4 linked regions of the Rattus norvegicus genome follow. The protein of the gene in region 1 interacts with the protein of each later gene in a pairwise test. Links are inferred from orthologs where the notes say so. Each region holds a gene or a part of one and is shown on either strand. Other genes may lie near its edges. The genes, in order: Fam168a, Otub2, Ss18l1 and Rbfox1.

The links.
Region 2: the proteins of Fam168a (region 1) and Otub2 interact in binary tests that used the Homo sapiens proteins (3 or more experiments, as listed by UniProt). The two-hybrid records come from large-scale screens. The link is inferred for Rattus norvegicus from reciprocal best matches to the Homo sapiens genes FAM168A and OTUB2.
Region 3: the proteins of Fam168a (region 1) and Ss18l1 interact in binary tests that used the Homo sapiens proteins (3 or more experiments, as listed by UniProt). The two-hybrid records come from large-scale screens. The link is inferred for Rattus norvegicus from reciprocal best matches to the Homo sapiens genes FAM168A and SS18L1.
Region 4: the proteins of Fam168a (region 1) and Rbfox1 interact in binary tests that used the Homo sapiens proteins (3 or more experiments, as listed by UniProt). The link is inferred for Rattus norvegicus from reciprocal best matches to the Homo sapiens genes FAM168A and RBFOX1.

The regions. Positions count from the first base shown.
Region 1 is NC_086019.1:164,597,765-164,602,960, reverse strand, and holds part of Fam168a (protein FAM168A), read right to left. Parts: intron 3,320-5,196; coding exon 3,194-3,319; intron 1-3,193.
Region 2 is NC_086024.1:128,319,080-128,324,275, forward strand, and holds part of Otub2 (ubiquitin thioesterase OTUB2), read left to right. Parts: intron 1-3,103; coding exon 3,104-3,199; intron 3,200-3,841; coding exon 3,842-3,960; intron 3,961-5,196. UniProt on the Homo sapiens protein: Hydrolase that can remove conjugated ubiquitin from proteins in vitro and may therefore play an important regulatory role at the level of protein turnover by preventing degradation.
Region 3 is NC_086021.1:187,526,909-187,532,104, forward strand, and holds part of Ss18l1 (calcium-responsive transcription coactivator), read left to right. Parts: intron 1-2,047; coding exon 2,048-2,124; intron 2,125-2,900; coding exon 2,901-2,985; intron 2,986-4,453; coding exon 4,454-4,598; intron 4,599-5,156; coding exon 5,157-5,196. UniProt on the Homo sapiens protein: Transcriptional activator which is required for calcium-dependent dendritic growth and branching in cortical neurons. Recruits CREB-binding protein (CREBBP) to nuclear bodies.
Region 4 is NC_086028.1:8,659,663-8,664,858, forward strand, and holds part of Rbfox1 (RNA binding protein fox-1 homolog 1), read right to left. Parts: intron 3,707-5,196; coding exon 3,631-3,706; intron 3,250-3,630; coding exon of another isoform or gene 3,102-3,249; exon of another isoform or gene 1,943-3,101; coding exon 1,820-1,942; 3' UTR 1-1,819. UniProt on the Homo sapiens protein: RNA-binding protein that regulates alternative splicing events by binding to 5'-UGCAUGU-3' elements. Regulates alternative splicing of tissue-specific exons and of differentially spliced exons during erythropoiesis.

The sequences.
Region 1 (5,196 bases):
GGATCTTCCTTGAGGCTGCAGAAACCATACAAGCTCAGGCTTTTTCTTGAGATCCTTTCCAGGCAGTGCTGCCTCAGGAATATCTTCATTTGGACTAGATCATTTCAGAGGGCATTTCTGATGCTGACATTCTAAATCCTGAGTATTTCAGAAGGACTTCTATGAGGACATCATCTATATCCTGACCTCATCCTGGGGAACACTGAAAATCTAGGGCTACTATCCCAGGCTTAGATATCATAAAAAGTCAGGGTTTATTACTTTGTGTATCTAAGTAAAAGAAGTTGCTGGGCTTTTTGCAATATCATCTCCTGGATTTTTACTCAAATAAATTTAGAGCCAACTCATTGCCTGGAGGCCTAGCTACTTTGAAATGAATGATGAATCTGAAGGTCACAGAATGGGAACTTTGGGGGGCTATACCCTTAAAAGACATTTGAAGCTTACATTCAACCTGCTCCTTTTCAGAGGAAGAAACTGTAACTTAGAAATCCAGTAATTTTTCAAAAATCGCATGGCACATCTATACTCTTAGAGCTGGCTCCAGAGTTCAAGGCTAATGTTGCCCTGGGTAGAGCGGTTTCTGAGTTAACTGTCTCTACGGTATGATCTTGGGCATCTGGTATATTGGCCTTTGTATCCCGTTTCACTAAAGGCAGTGTCATGAGACAAAGGAGTTCTGTCAGAAGAAGTGCCAGCTCTGCCTTAGAAAGAGGTTTTGTTTACGATGCCTGCCTGCTGTGTGTCTCGGGCTCCTAGTCATAGCTTTAGGCTTATCAACGGGAGAATAGAAAGACACCATGTGCATTAGCAAGATAAAGCCTTTGCAGCCTCTTAACTCTGCTTCAATGTCATAAATCTTTTTCAGTTATACAGTCCCGCCTACGTTCACAGACATCGATCTTCACATCAAGGATACTTTTTACACTAATTGGTTTATTGATCATCAGATTTATACATCTGGACAAAGTCTGGACAAAACAATACTGCATGTCTGAATCTTGCCTTGACCTCTGTCTCCTTGTTGGTAGTTAAACAATAAAGCACTGAATAAGTAAGAGGGATAGCTAATTATGAACAGGCTTTAGCAAGTGTATTGGTTAAATTGGTATAAATTTGTCAAAGTGCCCTGAATGTAAAAGCAATGAAACATGAATGCTTGGGGGAGCCTTTGAGCCTGCATGAGTCAATCAGTCAATCAATCTCAAATCCATTAAAAAAAAAATCACATCCACTTATGTATTGCTTGCTTGAAGGTGATACCTTTTGGTCTTATCTAGAAACTTGACAGCCTATATAGGAGGGGAGAGTAACATGTGACTACTGGACATTTCTGTTGGGCCTTGAGAAGATATAGCACAGAAGATCAGACACTCAAGACTACCTAGCTGTGGGAAGGGCAACCTCTGGACGAATGAGGCCACTATTTCTAAAGGTATGTGAGCAAACCTGAAGGCTGGCTTACTGCTGAGGGCAGCTAGAACAGAGGGTTTCGTGGGAAGGATATAGGTAATAACTCCTGAGGGAGAGACTCAAGAGTCCAGTGACTAGCAAGGACTTTAAAAGTGACTTAGCCCAAGGCCACCATTGTATACAGTTCAAGAGACTATGAAACAAAGCGCAGCTATGAATCACCCAAAGTTCTGTGGAACTGGAGTCCTGTATCTTCCCCTCCAGGTCTCTCTGTTGCACTGTAGTAACTGTGCCTTTATTCATATACATTTGTGAAGTATGTGCAACTCAGTTTACATTATATAATCTTACACATGTTCATTAAGCTCTACTTGAAGCACCTGGAAACTGCAGAATCTACAAAAAGGTATGCCATGCTGAGTTAGTAAATGCTGACAGGTAAGGACAATGACAACAGAGAAAAAATGACGTTTGTTGTTTCTGTTTCATTAAAGACAAGGGCCCATCATGCAGCCTTGGCTGGCCTGGACATCACTGTGTAGACAATGCTAGCTAGTTATTATCTTACAGAGAGATCCCCCTGCCTCTGCCTCCTGAGTGGTAGGACTTCAGGCATGTGCTACCATGACAGGCTTGACATTGGATATTTAACTTATTTATTTTTAAAGGTTTGTTTTTATTTTATGTGTATGAATTTGCCTGTGTACATATGTGCCCCACATTCACGCCTAATACAAAAAGAGGTCAGAAGCAGGCACTAGGTCACCTGAAACTGGAGTTACTGAAAGCCAAGTGCTTTCAGCGGCTGAGCCATCTCCCTAGCTCCAACAGTGGATATTTACACTTGATCTCAACCAAAAAACAAAAGCAAGGACACTGGATATTTAAAGGGAAAGATAACAAATTCAATGAATTTTCTTAGCCTACCTAGTAGGTTACTTTCCTACAACATCCTGCTAAGGGTTTGTCCAGGGCCTGCTAGCATAAATTCAGACATTGGTGCCCCATGTCCAACGCTAACCATTGTCCACTCCCATGGCCGACAGTTGCTGCAGGCACACGTTCTTCCACTCTACTTTCTAAATGAGGGTCTTCACTGGAATCATTTTGTTACCAACGCTACAAAGGTGACAGCATCAGTTACCCCACTGAGCCTCAGGATGGACATGACCAATCTGGCTGCTGGCTTCCGTCTACGTCATGCCATGTTCCCACAGTGTACTTAGATGAACTAGGGCAATGTTTCCTATAGAGAAGACACTTTTCTTTTCCAGGGGAATACTGAGCCATACCTAGGAACTTTTTTGGGTGTGGCAGTGTGCTTTGTTGCTGGCATCTAACAGAGGCTATAGATCCTACTAAACATCCTACCACATATAGGCAAGAACTTATCTGGCCCAGACGGCAACAGCGCTAAAGTCAAGAAAACCAGTGGATGGGAAAAGCTGCCTCAGTTCAAAAATACACAAGGCCTTCAAATGGGCCCTGGTTCTTTCCCCTAAGAGTCAGTAACAGTCTCTCACAAATCCACGTTCTTGGCCCAGGAATGCTCCCCTCTCTCTGCTGTGGGATAGTGTCCTAAAGCTAAAGGCATGATCAAAGATGAACATTTTTCTTGAATGTCAAAGTCCAATTTTCTTGCCTGAGTAGGAAGGAGAACCTCTTAAAACGGTGTTAACATTAAAAATGCCATTTTAAAAAATTCCCTTTCCTTTCTTGCTACAAACGAATCAGTCCCAATCAAGGAGAACAAGGACAGGAGGAGACAGGCTGTATTTACTGAAAGCCGCAGAGGATGCTTGGTAAGTTCGGTTCTCCGTCCCGGTGTCCACTGGGAGGTGGAAGGTGCCTTCAGTGCCACAGGAAGAGGAGTTCTGTGGCCAGGCTTGTTTCATCAGCAGAGTGGCTTAAGGGAAGACAGAAGAACGGCATTAGGCAGAAATAAGAAGTGGGCATCGCCAATTACAGACACAAAAGCAAGGGTCTTGTGCTAGACAGAAACATAACTCAAGGAGCCTGCTCAGACACACAGAATGAGTCAGCCTTTTTGAGATGGGATAGTAGGTTGGAAGGAGTGCTGAAGTGAGCTTCCAAATGACTTAAATCCAAGGAAACCTACACTTAAGTGCTAAGACTCAGGATTTCCCTACCTGTGATAAAAACCATGAAGAGGCCCTTGAATATCACCATTTTCTACACCTTCTGGTCTAAGACTAATGGTATTTTCCTCTACCACCTTCTCATTAACATGAACACTTGCAAGTCTTTGACAGTGTAGTGGGCCAAATTAACTGAGTCTTTTTAAAAAATCCCCTGTGGTCTGAAACTTATTTGAGGTATGGTTAATAAGTGTGAGTTGCCTCCAGAGAAAAACTGACAAATAACCACCATTTTACATGCGCCTCCCTGGGACAGCATCTCTTCTCACGGCCGAGCTGTGTATGGCAGCCTCAAGGCCTGAGCACTGTGGCTCTGCTATCGGCCATGGGACAGGGCACTCTTTGCCGACTCCTTCTGCACACCAGCACGGTCAGACAGACAGACTTCTTGCATATGTCTGAGTATCTCCTAACAGGCAGTACTGAATACTCCATCTGAGACAGCTCCTCGTGAGTTAGAGATGCTCCTTTGGCCATTATGAAAATACATGTCAAAACTGGGGTAGGTACATAGTATGTTACAGAAATTAGTTTGAGATCTGTAGAGATTTTATAGGATAGCTCAAAGCTCAGCTTGAGAAATTTCAGTAAGTATTTTGAGGTGGGGAATGACTCGAACTTACCGTCATGGTAACCTGAGGGGAAGGAGAGAGGAAACAGGGGGGAAATACCTTTACACAAAAGAAGAAAGAGAGAGAGAAAAAGAGAGAAAGAAAGAGAGAAAGAGATGGGGGAGGGAGGGAGCAAGAGAGGAAGGAAGGAAGGAAGGAAGGAAGGAAGGGAGGGAGGGAGAAGGAAAGAAAGAAAGAAAGAAAGAAAGAAAGAAAGAAAGAAAGAAAGAAAGGGAAAACTATCCTTTTAAATACCAGAGGAGACACATTTTTGATACAAATTTCTATTTTAAGGTTAAAAATGATTAATTTTTTCTTTATAATATCTTTTCCATCCTAATTAGATGTTGGGAGTTTTGGACACAGAGTGTTCTAAAGTACATTAACAGTAAGGGGATGGACTGACAACAATCAGATGAACCTGACATATTTTAGTAAGTGGGAAGGAAGCATAATAAGAAAGTATGCTGGGTCTATAGATCCTATAGGGTTTGCTGCCTCCAGAGACGCCTGGTTTACCACTAGCATCTCTGTTCCTTCTATGGCAGAGTTATAATGGCTAGGGAAGGTTGTGCATTCTGCTGGTTTTTTTTGGAACTAGAATCAGATTGTTCTTCCAGAGGCTGACTCCGCTTGCATTGATGGCCCGCAATATATACAGCAAATGCTGAGGAATGAGAAGGAAATCATGGGCAGGAAAGTGACACTAAAAGGAGAATCTGGCAAGAGGAACAGAGACAGCCCAACCCCAAGCAGAGCCCAGAGCCCTTGCTAGACAGCCAGGACAGTGTGCAGCTTCTGCAGAGGGAAATCTGCTTGAAATAAACACCTTGGGTTTCTGCTCCAGAGGGTGGGATATAATATGAAAGGAATTAATAAAGGGTCCAATTAGTGTCAAAGATCTTATCACAAGGTCTCCAAATTCAGGGACTGACGTTCAGTGTGGCTGAAGGCCACAACCACCCACAAATTACTACTGTGTCAAATATGTTGCTCTGAGAAGTCAGACAGAG
Region 2 (5,196 bases), on another chromosome or scaffold:
CTGGTGTAGTGCCTCGCCCCTCAGGACTCCTCTCTGAGGATGAGTGGAGTTCCTCTTCCCCTGCTCCCTGATGCCTACTCAGAAACGGTCAAGTAAATATGGCTGCTGGCTGGGCATCCTTCTGTGTCCCCTATACCCCTGGCATCTTTATTGCTGGTGTTTGTTTGGGGCCAGGATTGAGTGCAGGTTCACCAGATACAGTCGGGGCGTCGTGCTCTGTAGCCTGTTGTTGGAAAACCCCATGCACTGTTCTAAGTCATCCACCTGTAAAAATACTTCTATAAACAGTCATGAAGCGGATAGCAAGACATGAATGAATTAACAAGGGAGCAAGAAGGCGTTTGGTTGAGCAGAACATGTGGCCACTTGCCAGGCAAGGGGCCCATGGGTTACCTTGCCATGCACACAGGGTGTGGAGAGGGCTGTTCAGAACGATACCGCCCCATGGGGATTTGTGTCTTCAACACAGTGTTAGCAGACTTAACCACACACCAGCAGCTGTGTGTTATATAAATGATGTCACACTTCCATCATTCTGAACAATATATATATAGTTATATATATAGCTATATGTATAGTTATTATTAATATATTAAATATATTCTATACATAATTATTTTACATATATATTTAAATATATGAATGTATGTTTATATATACATGTGTCTATATTCTAAACATACATACACATCTATGAAGTCAACAAAGTTATCTTGGCCTAAGGTTTTTCTAAACCTGCAAATGGAATGGAGCCTATCCAAGCTATGAGCCTGAGGTCTGTGAAACTCTGAAAGGGAGACAACTAGGAAATGGGAAGGAAGAACATAAGGAAGAAGTTGGTACCTTCTTGGCACGGGTAGAAGGCTCAAAGCAGGTGGAGGAGGGGCTGTCTCCCCCTCTGGCAGTGGGCCCTGCTCTCCTGTCTTTGTTTGCCTTGCAGAGCTAGGAATGAACCCAGGGCCTTGCACATGCCAGAGCAGCTCACCCACTATTCAGCCACACCCTCAGCCTGCTGATACCTTTCAATGGCTGTGCCCGGAGTCACTTGAGAACTGTCCCTTGACACTCTGCAGTAAGCATCACACACTGTCCAGGCTCTTGGACACACTGAACTCCCATCAGGAAGTGGGGTGGGGTGGGTTGAACAGTGTCTCTTGGGGTGCTGCAGAAGCGAGAAGTTGGACCCAGCCTCTGGATTAGAAGGCCACACACTGCCCCGGATAGGACAGTTCTTTGTGCTGTAGCAGCTGAGTCCTTTGAGAACTCTGGCATCTGGGCTGTGTGCATACCCAGCAGTTTGGTGTGTCTGAACTTCACAGGGACCTGCAGGAATCACTTCCTAGCTCACACAACCTGACCTTGGCGGTGGGTATAATCGCCACCTCATAAGAGTGTTATGATAATTGAGATAATGGGGCCATGTGAACCTCTGCTCCCGATCTTGGCACACAGTAGTGCCCAGTGATGGCACCCATCACCCATGTCACACATTGATTGGGCTTAGAGTAGCAGCAGATCATCGAACCATCCTCCCTATGTTGGCTTTCAACCTCTGGTCACAGAGTGGCTGCTGTAAGGTAGACATTGCATCAGCATCTCTGCTCTTTCATCCCAAACCAAAAGCTTTCCCAGAAGCCCCAGCAGGCTTTGTTATGGGCCTAGAATACGCCAATTTGGGTAATTAGTTTGTCAGCTTGTCCCAAGGATCCCCTGTACCTACCAATCCTTTGAGAGCTGGGATCAGAAGCAGGTTCCTCATCTAGCCTGAATACGTACTCTGGGGATCTGAACTCTGATCCTCACACTTAAAAGACAAGTGGTGTATTTACAGAGTCCTGTCCTCAGCCACAGAAACCTTATTTTAAGCTGGAAAATCCTTTATATGAGTCAAAAAGCACTTAAAGAGCAATCTCTCTCTCTCTCTCTCTCTCTCTCTGTGTGTGTGTGTGTGTGTGTGTGTGTGTGTGTGTGTGTGTGTGTGTGTGTGTGTGTGTGTACGTACAAACCACTTACACGGTTAGAAGACAGCTTGTGAGAGTTGGTTCTCCCTTTCCCCGATGTGGGATCCTGGATCAGCCTCAGGTGGTCAGGCTTGTTAGCAATCTGAGACATCTCACCAGCCCTGGAATGTTTGTTTGTTTGTTTGTTTGTTTTGAGACAGGGCTTCTCTATGTAGCCCTGACTGTCCTGGAACTTGCTTTGTAGATCAGGCTGGCCTTGAACTCAGAGATCCGCTTACCTCTGCCTCCTGAGTGCTGGGATTAAAGGTGTGTGCCACCACCGCCCTGCAGCCCGACACTTTGAGGTTTGCTCTGAGGAGAGCACCATTCCTGGTGGCTGGTGGTGAGGGTACATGGCCAGTTGGCTGAGCCCCAGCCCTGAGCACTCTCACCCCAAGCTTAGTAAAGGAGCAGAGGTGGGGAGGTGACTACCACTCCTCCATCCATGGCATCCTCTGTCGTCTCCCACCTGCTTTTGTAAGGACTTAAGAGACCATGGCTCAGACTTGGTTCTGGCCTTGATTCAGAGCTGGGTTACACTGGTAGGCAATATGGGAAGATGTCCTCAATGCCTCAGCCCTTGTGTAAACTCAGATTGTTACCCTTTCCCTGAACCCTCACACACACACCCCCAGTGCCACACAGGGTCACCCCATAGCTAACCTTCACCCTGTGGTATCACTGGCTTTTGTGTAGGGATGGGAATACCCCTGTATTGCCAGCATGTGGTGATGTTAGGCTTGGCACAGGCTGCATGTTAAGGAACTGGGGGACTCGGGTGAGTAAAGAAAAGAATGAATGAATGAATGAATGAATGAATGAATGAAGAGGCAGGAGCATACTCCAGCATAGAGATTTATTAAGTCTGAGGTATTAAATATATTGAAATGAACCGGTTAGTAAGCTATAAGGTTAGTTCTTTGTAGCCAGGTTACCTCATGCTGGTGCCAGTCCTTATTGTCCTGGTCAAAGGCTTACACTTCCCTTGAGAGAACAGGTCATGTTCTAGATTGTGTACCCCGTTGGTTGTTCAGAGGCCATCAGCTCCGTGAGCGCTGCAGGTGTCTTTGAAGCCAGCTCAGCATCTCTTCTTTCTCTTTCAGAGTGAAACATCTTTCAACCTAATATCAGAAAAATGTGACATTCTATCTATTCTTCGGGATCATCCTGAAAACAGGATTTACCAGAGGAAAATCCAGGTGGGGCAGAGGGCAGAGGGGCCAAGAGCCTAAACAAAGAGGGCTGGGGTCGGGAGTAGAGAAGGGGGCAGCTTCTGGTCAGCGTGGAGTTTGGGCCAGGTTCCTGTGCAAACTGAAACACACTTAGACCATTCTGACATTGTGCATTTGCCTCAGAAAGCCTCTCTTTGTGGGAACACCACACATTTTAAAGCTGAGCACCAGTGTAGCACTGGATTCACTTGCTTGACTCCTCTCTGGTGTGGTCCGGCACTCCCCACACCCCTGAGAAACCTTTAGAGAACTGCCGAGGTTGCCTAGTGTTCTGCAGCCTCCCTATCACCCACCCCACTCAACTGCCAGCTTCCTCCAGGAAGCCTTCCCTGACTGCCAGAGTCTGGTATGTTTGTCTCTGGCCCAGGACACCCCAATCATGTCCTCAATCTCTGTCACCATCATCTAATTCTGTGGTACCTCCCCCAACTGGAGGCTGGCTGGTGCCCAGGAACTGACATCCTCTGTGTCTGACACCGCAGTGTATTTGTGTATCTGTGGGATGGATGAGGGTGGGAACCCTGGTGGGAGGGAGCTGTGGCCAGGCCAGTGACTGACCCACACCAGTGTTGCTGCTGCTGAGGTCCATGTGTCCTCCTCTCCCCTTAGGAACTCAGCAAAAGATTCACCTCAATCCGAAAGACCAAAGGAGACGGGAACTGCTTCTACAGGGCCTTGGGCTATTCCTACCTGGAGTCTTTGCTGGGCAAGGGCAGAGAGATCCTCAAGTGAGTGGGGCCTGTGTAGACTCTTCTGCTTCTCTGTTAGAGCCGGCTTGTGTAGCAGGGGAGCTGAGAGCTGGCCACTGTGCCAGTGTTGATGGCAGCCCAGAGGCTCAGGAAGGTGTCTGTATCTGTTTGACACTTCCTCCAGCATTGCCTGAAGGCTTGGTTCACCAACACTGGGTGGGCGCTTGGTATTTACTGCATTTACTGCACAATGACAAACAGACGTGGTGGCACTCAGTCAAACCCTGTTTTAAACACCAACACAAGAAAGAGGAGGAGGTAGAGAGAAGGAAGGAGAAGAGAAAGAAAAGGAAGAGGGAGAAGAGGAAAAGGAAGAAAGAAAGAGAGAGACGGGGGGGGAGAGAGAGAGAGAGAGAGAGAGAGAGAGAGAGAGAGAGAGAGAGAGAGGAAGGAGGAGGAGCAGGAGGAGGAGAAGGAGGAAGAGGAGGAGGAAAAAGAAAAGAAGAAAAGAAGAGAAAGAAAAAGAATACAAAAGGAGGAAGCTTGTCCCTGCTGGCCTTGGTCATGTTCGTGTGTATGTGTGTGTGTGTGTGTGTGTGTGTGTGTGTGTGTGTGTGTGTGTGTGTGTGTGTGTGTGTGTGTGTGTGTGTGACAGAGCACACTGTGGTGTGTGCAGAGAGACCAGCAGATAACTTTAGGAATCTTCTCTTCCCTTCCACTGCATGGAGGGGCAGCCACATTACCAAGCCCTCTTGCTGGACCTTGACCCCGATAGAGAGTGGGGACAGCCCAGTGCCAGGCTGGTCCTGAGGTTCACGAAGAGCTGCTTGGTGGCCAGGTCAGGTGTCTCACCACGCTCGTGAGGGCCCCGTGGCCTGTGTCAGGATGGGCCTTGTATTGCAGGGATGTGGATTAACAGTCATGAAGCTGGGGTTGAGAGCAGGGAGGCCTGACAGGATAGGTGAGCTGGTATTAGGACGGATTACTGGATTACTGGCTACCCCACAGAAGCAGCCAGCAGCAGAGATCTGAGGGACAGAAGCACATGCTGGGGCCCATGGCACTCCCACCTCAGGTGTGTAACATTCCCTGGCCACTTAGAAGCATAGTGAGTACTAAACAGGAAATTGGGCTCTGAGTATTATTTTCAAAATTACATTTACTTATTGTATGAGTGTTTGCCTGCATGTGTGTATGTGTCCTCGGTGCCAGAAGAGGGCATTTGATCTTCTGGAACTGGAATTACAGATGGTTGTGAACTCGTGCTTGGAATCA
Region 3 (5,196 bases), on another chromosome or scaffold:
CTGCTTCCCGAAGGTGCTTCTGTGAGAGTCTGACGCTCTCGGCATGTGTCCTGTCTTTCCTGCGAGTCTTCAGACTAAGCAAGCCAGCACCCCCATCCGCTGTCTTAAGAAAGCATGGGCTGGAGGTGCTGCTCCAAAGTCAAGAGCATGCACTGCCCTTGCTGAGTTTCCAGGTTCAGTTCCCAGCACCCTCACTGAGCAGCTCCCAATGACCTGTGACTCCTGCTGTAGGGGATCTGACCCTCCTCTTCTGGCTTCTGTGGGTGCCTACACACATCATGCACATACCAGCACACAAGTAAACACATATACACATAGTCATACACACGTAGTTAAAGGAGCAAATCCTAAAAAGTGGTACCAGTTCAGTATTTCCTTATGCTCACAAATGCTAGGCCCTGTGCAAATCGGCACTGTCCCTCTGTATGGCTATCCCTTCACCGGCCTCTCTGCATCTTCCCTTTGGCTGTTGGTGGCTAGAGTTTACACGACAACCTGGACATGTTGTAGGGGGTTTACTTTGTGTCCTTAGAGAGAGCCTTGAGAGTGTGGGGTTGAAGAAGAGGATGCTGGGAGCCTTGCCTGTGGGGGGCGGGGGTGGAGGTAGGGGGTTGGAGTGAGTGACCAGTGACCCTGGAGAAAGTCCTTCCCTGGCCTTTAGATCACTCTTAGGCATCACTAGCAGCTTCTGTGCAGCAGCGCCCCCTGGTGGGCACTCAGTGCAGGATGTGTTGTCATCTCCGCAGGGGAAGGAAAACAGTGGGGAGAGGGGGCGCTTTAACCTACAAAAGAGCGGGACAGGAGAGACTACACTTAAGGCTCTATAGGCTAAGTAAGGTGTGTGAAGTTGGGAGCTGGTCTCAGGGAGAAGGCAGGTCCAGGAACCCGCAATGCAAAGTAGAGGGAAGGGCATCAGGCAGCCTCAAGGAACAGGGCAAATGTGTTTCTGTGAAGGTGGAGGAAGGGCCTGCCTGCCTGTCATGAACACTCAAGTATAGACCCTAGAGCAGGTGTTCCAGGGTTCCTCCCCCAGGGACCCTGGTCACTCCAGGTAGAACATGGCTCAGCGCTGCGCCTGCTGGCTGTCCTCTGCCCACTGGCTTGCCACACTTCTACTCTCCCCTCCCATCTCTCCCTCACTTTCTCAGATGCTCCTCAAGGACCATGGGGTGGCAGAAGGCCCTGTGTGCTGTGCCTGTCCACAGGCTTGGCCCACTTCCCTCACAAGCATTTGCACTGCCCAGTGATCCTGATCTCCAGTCTGTTACCAGTCACTGGAACCAGTACATCCCAGGATAGCCCTGGGGTCTGTGGAGGTCAGACCTCACATGACTGAGTTTGGGAAGGGTGCCTGCACATCCTGGACACCTTGGGAGCTCAGTCTTCCAGCACCGCCATGTGTACCAGCCACCTGGGCAGGTCCAGGCTTGGGGGGTCTATGTTTCTGACCGATTCCCTACAGTGCTACAGCCAATGAGTGTGGGCTATGCCTGCCGGAGTGAGGATCAACTTCCTTCTCCCTGGAACAGTCTCTGGTTCACGCCGCATTTCTGGGAGCCCACGGTCCATCTCCGCCATGTCTGTACCTGCCTGTTCACACATCACCTCCATGAAGCTGTTTTCTGATCCAGGTCCCATATGATGTGTAAGACAGTCTCAAAACAGTGCCGGCCTCTGCAGAGTGTAGCCCGGGCCTCTGCCACCCTTCCTTTCATGTCCTTGGGTCTCAGGGAGATCCAAAGGGACGAGGTTGCAGATTGGTAGTCCTCTTGTTGTTTTGCCTGCTCTTGTGCGCCTACAGTGCCTCCTTCCATACATTCATCTCCTGGGCTTCTCTCACTGGCCCAGGCTGAGCATAGCCCACGGGGATGGACGTAAGCTGCCTCTGCCCTCTTGTGGAGTTGAGGTTTGAGGGTCTGTGGAGCTCTCTAGGTAGGTGCCAGGACCTGGAGTGGGTGCCCTTACCGCATTCCCCAAGGGTCCTGGCATCCTAGATGTGAACCAGCTGCTGTGTGACTGCGTGCACCCTGCTTACCTCTCCCCCCAGATGCTGGATGAGAACCACCACCTGATCCAGTGCATCCTGGACTACCAGAGCAAGGGCAAGACAGCCGAGTGCACCCAGTGAGTAACCAGGCCAGCCAGGGACCCAGCCCACCGCCAGTCTCTGTGACTGCCTTTTCCACGTGCTGGGAAACTTCCTTGGTGCAGAGCAGAGGGAGGTCAGGTGTGGTCTCAAGAGAGCAAGTGGGGTGGGAAACCTTCTCATCGGGGATTGGGGGAAAAAGAGGCAAAGGGGAACATGGAGAGGTGTTTGTACAGCCTCCATCCATGGGGCCAGCAGTAGACCCAACCAGAAGACAGCTTGTGCCTCTGGGTGGGCAGAGTACCTCAGACCTCTCTCACACTTTCACGAGGGGCCTCCTGGGTCCTCACCTCATGCATCTGGTCAGAGAAAAGTGAGACTTTGCCCGGTGCGATGTGTGGGTGAGGAGCCTCAGTCCTCTGGACCCTTCCTGTTTTCTTCCAGGGCTCTTCAAGATGTCTGCTCTATGGGGTCAGCCTCACATCTGGCTCTGTGGAGCAGGGCTCTGTTCCCTGTTGTCCTGCCATGATCACCTATTCTCCCATTGATCCAATAGCACCTCCCTCCTGACTCACACCTCAGGGTCTTCCCAGGGTTCAGTCATTGGAGCAGGAGCCTGCTTAGGTCTTGGCTAGACCTGTTCCCCGCCTATCCCTCACTGGACTGTGGAAAGCAGCCAGCTGCCCGTTCCCAGCCTAGCGTCACTGTTCGCTGTCCTGCCAGGCTGGAGGTTGGGGCTGACTCGGTTAGACTTTGCCTCTACCTTGGGTGTGGCCGCTTGTCCTGCCTTACCTGAATGCTTCTCCCTCCGCAGGTACCAGCAGATCCTGCACCGGAACCTGGTCTACCTGGCCACCATAGCAGATTCCAACCAGAACATGCAGTCTCTGCTTCCCGCGGTAGGTGCCGCAGCCAGTTTCAACCAGTTTCTGTGTGTGTCGCCTCAAGTAGACAGGTGACCCACAGCAGCCCAGAGCTATGAGGCATCAGAAATTGGGGGTTCTGGGAAAACCCCTGTCCCACAGGGAAAGGTCGTGAATGGCTGCGTTAGATGGGAAGAATTGAAACGTAGCCTGCTTAGTTTAGGGAAGTGGCCCCAGAACCAACCCTGGGGAGTGTTAACGGTGAGTGTCATGACCAACGGGAGAGGTCTTTTTGCCTTTGTTGTAAATCGTTTCCTCTTTGTTTCTGTGGTGCTGAGGCTTAAATGCAGAGCCTCATACACTGTAAGCCTTTCCAAATGGCGTGCACAGTCCCAGTGCATATGGGTGTACTGCTGGGATAGAAAAATAAATGTCTTGCTAGGTGTACTCCTTCAATCCTAGCACTTGGGAAGCTGAGGTGGGAGGATTGCTGTCAGTGTGAAGTCAGACTGGGCCGTATATCAAGTACCAAACTAGCTGAGGCTACACCCCATGAATCCTGTCTTTTAAATTAAAAAGAAAAAGGAAGTTAATGGGGGAAATCTCCAGTGCGGTCACGGTCCAGATACCGCTATAAATATTTTATTGTCTGTTTGATTTTCTGTAAATGCATTTTCCCCAAATTAAACTTTAACTGTGATGTCAGATTGTGTGACCGTGGCCAAGTGAGGTTACGTGGCCAAGAGAAGGAGCTACCTACCCCGTGATGACCAAAGCTGACTGCAGGTGCCAGGGTAGACCAGGAAAAGACTCGTCCCTTAGTACGTGGCTCCCTTGGAAAGTGGAGGTGCTACAAGTGGCATTACCTTGGTCAGCTGTGATGTGGCTCCTGCTGGAGACGCCCCATCTCATTTCTTTTCACTACTAGGGCTGACCTGGAGCTATATGCGTGTGAGGCTATGTCCCTGGGTCTCTTTTTACCTCTTAGAAATAAGTTTTAAGTCTCCAGGTCTAATTGTTTTGCCCATACTGAACTTGAACTCTGTAGCCCAGGCAAGCCTTGAACTTGTCATCCTCCTGCCTCCACTTCTCTACTGAGACTGTAGCCCTGCAGCACCAGGCCTGGCTGGGAGCTCCTTTTCTCGGCCAGGTCTAGATAGCGTGTGTGTGCAAACCTTTGCAGCCACTGTTTGGTGAGGAGAAGACCCACCTCCTTCTTCACCATGTGTTTGGCTGAGGGGATGGATGGAGGATGAGAAGGGAAAGCAAGTGAAAGGAGCGGAAGCCAGCTTGTGCACTGACTGGTTCATTGATAAGATGTGGGCACTAAGACCCAACAGCCAGCTGATTTGTGTCTGAACGTCAAGAATGTCTCAGCTCAGCTCAGCACCATGCTGGCCGGTGGCTGTGCAGTTCTCGTGGGTCACTTGAGTCCCTGGGATGGCTCTTGGTGCTTATTCTCTGAGGTAACTCTCTCTCACTCCAACCTCTCTGTTGTCTACAGCCTCCAACCCAGAACATGAACCTCGGGCCCGGAGCACTGAGTCAGAGCGGTTCCAGCCAGGGCCTGCACCCCCAGGGCAGCCTCAGTGACACCGTCAGCACAGGCCTGCCCCCTGCCTCCCTCATGCAGGGCCAGATCGGTAACGGTGAGCAGGTTTGCGGCAGCGATGTCACCAAGCTAGCTGTAGATAGTGGGTTTAGTGGCAGCCTACACCCACCAGGGCTGGGCACAGTGCCTTCCCTCCTGTCGTGCAACCACCTCTCTCCCACTGTCCTGGCTGTAGGTATTCCTCTAAGCCTAAGTGTATGTGGTGGTTGACTAACCATGCAGAGGACATGAGGCTGACTCCAAGTGCCCGGGTCTGTTTGACTCTGTCCTGTGGCGTTTAATGTACGGTCGTGTGCTTCTGCGTGCATCCTTTAAGAACAAAGGTGTGATGGTGCCTCTGCTCGTGCTGCAAAATAAGAACTCCTTATACCAACTGGGGGCTCTCAGGAACAGTGACACGGGGTGTGTGTGTGTGTGTGTGTGTGTGTGTGTGTGTGTGTGTGTGTGTGTTCATTAATCACTCGCCCAATTCCTAAGTATTACTGACCTGGGGCGAGCCTTCCTCCTCAAAGTCATCTGAAGGGAACTCAGACGTCTTTACCTTGAGGTGGAAACCTCCAGTGCCTGATGCTCCCTCTCCTACCCTTCCTGGCAGGTCCAAACCACGTGTCCATGCAGCAGACGGCTCAGAGCAC
Region 4 (5,196 bases), on another chromosome or scaffold:
CGAAAACTTTGTTTTCAAATCTCATGAAACTTTATTGATGGTTTAATATCCAACCGATCTTACGGGCATGCACGTAGGATGATGAGGAAAAGCTGGATCACAAACACTTTTTTTTTTCTTTTTAAAGTTTTGTTTGGTTTTGATTTTAAAGCAGAGTTGTTACAGCAGATTGGCAGGTTCACAGCGTGAGTTGATAACTTACTAAAGTGCGTGCCGTGGGGCCGGCACTGCACACACAGGCAAAAACACTACTCAGGGAACAGCTTGCTGATATTTTAGAATTTAAATACAAAAACAGGAAGACCCATGACAGATACCCCAACTTAGGTTAACTTGTAAACAGGACAACATGGGGGGATTCAAACAGAAGAAATTCACAAGCTGCAATTTTTCGGCTGTGTTGCTCTGGCCCTGCTCCGGAAAAGGATGCGGCAGACACTGCTCTTTGGGGAAGGAGGGCATGGTTCTAGTTTTGTTTTTTGTCTTGTTTTTGCTTCCTTCTGACAATTGTCTTGGGCCTTGGCGATAGAAGTAAAGACACCAGTTTAACATAACCCTGGGGCACTGGGGAGAAGGAAGGGCAGGCTCTCACAGACTGAAAAATTGCAAGTTGCTCACAGCGCAGTCATGTTTTCAAAAAGTATCAAGCTGATGAAAATACCGTGATTATCTCTATTCAATGATTGCGATACTTGTAAAATGCGACTATAAATCCAGATATGATTATCATGTAATTCCATAAAAATTATACGTCTGTCTCTAACAGTTAATCTACTAAGCTAAAACTAAAGCCTCAGAGACTGTTTCTAGAACATAACTCCACTGCACAGATGTAAATTTTATACATATTTTTAACTGGTACAAAGAATTTAAGTTTTTATTACTTTCTTTTTTGGAAAAAAAGAAAAAAATAGAAACAGTGCTTTTTATCACCTTTTATTAATGTTAATTTTCCCTCCCGTAATATAAAAGTCAGCAGTGATATCAATAATTTCTCATACTGGAAGAAATATAAAAAGAATGCTTATTGATGGCCTAACTAGTAGCCTTGGCTTAAATAACTAGTGGGTAGGTAAGAAGCTGCGTACTGCGGTGGAATGATAAGAGGGCGGACCGTCACAGCTTCGTTCAACTGCAATCTCCGTGCTATAAGAAGCAGATTCTTAACACAGCCTTTGGCTTGCCTTTGCCAGGAGTAACTTCGAACCATAGATTTATGATAGTTGGTGCAGTGGGTCATTTAGATTCATCAGTTACTATATATATGTATTTATATATATATATATTTTCTTTTTTTTTCCTTTCAGCCAAACCCCAGTCCCAAACCCCTAAGCCCCTCCCGGCCTCCCCTTTCACAGAATAAAATAATATAGATGCAGAAAGAATGACTTGCCACTTACAGTCTTCCCAAACAGCGTAACCCCAGTAGCTTCATGTTCGGCATATATAATCCATTTACATAATATAGCACTCTGGATATGGCCCTAAATCGGTTTTTATTTATATCTAGCCTCTCTCTAGATCAACCACAAAAACTCCTACAGCCAGCAACTGAACTACAAAAACCTTCATAAACCAAAGACCCACAATATTAAAATACACAGAACAAAATATCTGAGGTATAAGATAAAAAATGTAATTTTTCCTCTTTTTTTTGATTTTTTTTTTTTTTAGTTGTTTCTTTGAGTTGCTAAAGTGATGTCCTACTGCATGTGTCGCAACACTCGGGCCTCGGAAAGCTTCCTCTCTCCCCACATTGGAAGGTTGGTTTTTTTGTTTTTGTTTTGTTTTTTGTTTGTTTGTTTAATGGTTTTATCATTTAATATGGAGCAAAACGGTTGTATCCCCCTCGGTATATACTAGCCTGCAATGAAGAAAGAACGAGACCCACATCATCAGCATGGCTCCTAGTCTTGGCATCGGTCAAGGGCGCAAAAGCATTCTGAAACAAAGCAATTTGAGGGGTGTGTTTTTTTACATGTTGCCTTTTGTAACATGTGGATCATCAAAAAGACTAATGTAAAAAAAAATAGACACTCAAAACCAACCAAAATAGAGGGCACCCCCTTCCCCATCCCATGACCTTCTTAGAAAGTTAATGGTGGTCACTCCTGACCTCCTCCTGTAACTCCTTATGAAAAAAATAATAATCCCAGGAAACTGAACTGGATCTGCTGGTCCTACCTACCAGCTATGAGGCCTCCAGTTTACAAATGGGGAAGTGGATGGCTAGGAACTGACTCAGTTTACCGTTTGTTTTTCAGTGACTGGAATAATTGATAAGATGTTCCACTGGGAGAAGCTCTATGTATATTCAAAGGTAGTTCTACACAATGTGGCGAATGCAGGGACTCAGGATTCTTTTCCACCCTTTTCCTCAGGTGGCCTAGGTGTTGAAGCAGGGTTATTGGATGCCATGTTGAAATAAGAATAAAAGCCTGCATCTAGGTTTGGCTAGGCAACCTACGGATTCTGATGCTGCCTCCGTGGGGGTGGGACAGGGGCATTGCTGGGTGTGATTAAGCTTGAAGAAGGCTCTTCTATGCCTGCTTGGGTCTCTATGATCCAGGATACAGGGAATTGTCTAGCCATAGCTTCCTATGGCGATGAGGTGACACTTAAGCGTTTCTTTTTGCTGCAGTTATTGGCGATTCCAATGAATGCCCATGGGACTGAGCTTTAGGGAGAGGACTAAGATTCTCAACTCAAGCAGAAGACTGCATGCCAAGGCGCTGAATTGATCGCATGTGCGCCCAACGCGATGGACATGTCTTACTGGACTCAAGAGTGTTAGTGCATAGAAGTTTGAACAAGTACAGGCAGATTCACCCTACCCTTGCCCCCCACTGTTGCCCTCCCCCTTTCCCTTCCCAAAACAAAAAGCAAAACCAAAATCCCAGATATCCCACCCTCCAAGAAGAAAAGTAAAAAACAACAAACCAAAAAAAAAAAAACCAAACCAAAACAAAACAAAACAAAAAAAAAAAAAAAACTGCAAAAAAAACCCAAAAACCCAAAACAAACAAGATGACCCCCCCCAAAGCCAGCTGATTCCTTAATTTCTTATGTACTAGGCACACTCACAAAGTGTGCCCCTCTGTCTACTTTCTCTCCTGGGCGACTATGACTTTAAACATGAATTGTAAAAGGGGAGGAGAGGCAGGCAGATGCTCAGCTGCCTGACAGCAGAGGCCTGGAAGTCTGCAGCTTAGCTCCTCTGAAGTCTGTGCTGGGGCTGGAACCTTGGGGCTATGTGAATGAGCAGAGCAGCACGGGAGGGAAGGGAAAAAAAAGAAAAAAAAAGTTCTGCATTGACACTGCATTCCGTTAGTGATGGATTTAATTATCAAAATGACTAATTATTCCATTAAGGTAAGTGCTCGCTAGGTGAGACTTGCAAAATTAGAAATATAATAACTTACATGCACTACATTGCCAAGAAATTAAGACATTTATCAAGTTTACTGGGAGGATTAATGTGGCATTTTAGCTGCTGTTAGCACAAGAGACAAATTCAATTAAGGGAAAGTGAGAGGACTTCAACCATCAGCCCATCCTGAGGCCCCAGCTGGGGTGGGGGGCAGGGAAGACAGCAGGAGGAGCAGAGGACAAGGAGGAGCTGCTACTCACCATGGCACCAACGCCGTAGGTGGGGGCTGGAGCAAGTGTGTGGTGGTAGGGGTCGGCAGCATAAACTCGTCCGTAACTGCAAAGGGAAGAAGAGGTGAGAGTGGTTCATGATGGTCGCTGAGGTACCGTGATTCCACTGTGTTTAGAGCAGCAATGAGAGAGTACCAAGAGAGCATGGAGGGGTTGTCCTCATTCTAAAACATGAAACGCCCCTCTCCACTGCAGGATAAGAAGAAACTCAGACTGAGCCTAGTGACACACGTGACACAGCCAGTCTTAGGGATGTATTCCACATACGGTCATGTTCAAGTTAATGATGGGGACCCATTCTGAGAAAGGCATCATCCTATGATTTTGTTTTTGAAACATCACAAATTATATTTACACAAAGCATGAAAACCTTGGGGGTAAAATGTCTCAGGGGAACACTCCATAGATGGGGCATATAACTGTAAACATACACACACACACACACACACACACACACTCCCTCCCTCACATGTACATGCATATATACACACACACACACACTCCCTCCCTCACATGTACATGCACACACACACACACACACTCCCTCTCTCACATGTACATGCACACACACACTCCCTCCCTCACATGTACATGCACACACACACACTCCCTCCCTCACATGTACATGCACATACACACATACACACACACACGCACACACACACACATTCTCTTCTACTGTGATGTTGCTACTTCAGAGTCAGAGGCAGGCAGGAAGCAAATGATAAACTGGTCTTGAGAATCCCTGTGTCTCAAACAAAATTTAGTGCTCAAGAACAGATGAGCTAGATGTCTTTTCATCTTATTTGATTGTCACCAAGCACCCTGGGTCATACTCAGAAATCATAGTTTGGTTTGGTTTCGATCTTGGTATCCTAGAATCTTATCCAATCTCGGGATAGTTCTTGATGTAGGGACATTTGGAGCAGGAATGCCTTCCCAGGGTGATGTGCACACTTGATTTGTAATATCACGCCCTTGCTTGTTTGACATCAATTCCCAGATAGCTTCTGGGGATGATTTGAACAGTGAGGTTTTGATACTGTTCAATGTTCAGATACAATCTTGGGAGAAGGTCCATGGAAAGTGTGAGTGACATGGAGACTCTAGCTTAAATGGTTTGTGGAGAGCATGCTCCCTAGAGGAGAAAGAGGCAGGCATAGCAAGAGAAAAGAAGGAAGCAGGGAACAGTGAGCTGGAGGCTGGCTTTCATCTGATCCTGCTGGTTGCATGTTAGAGCTGATCTCTCTGGGGAGGCAAGTTGGTAAGCTATTTAATACCCAAGTAATACCAAGGCCACCTAAGGACTTTCCTGTGAGGTGATTAAGCACCCAGTTGAGATAGCTTCCATTAGTAGAGAGCCAAGTGTGAGCTGGGGTGGGTATGGATAAGCTACAGGAGCAAACAACACTCATAGCAATTGAAGGATGAAGAATGCCCCAGACCCATTTAGTGGTCTATTTTTAAAAATAAGAATGAGTTCATGTATTCTATCAACCAGAGGAGACTCATTGTTGATGCCTTGAAATACAAGTT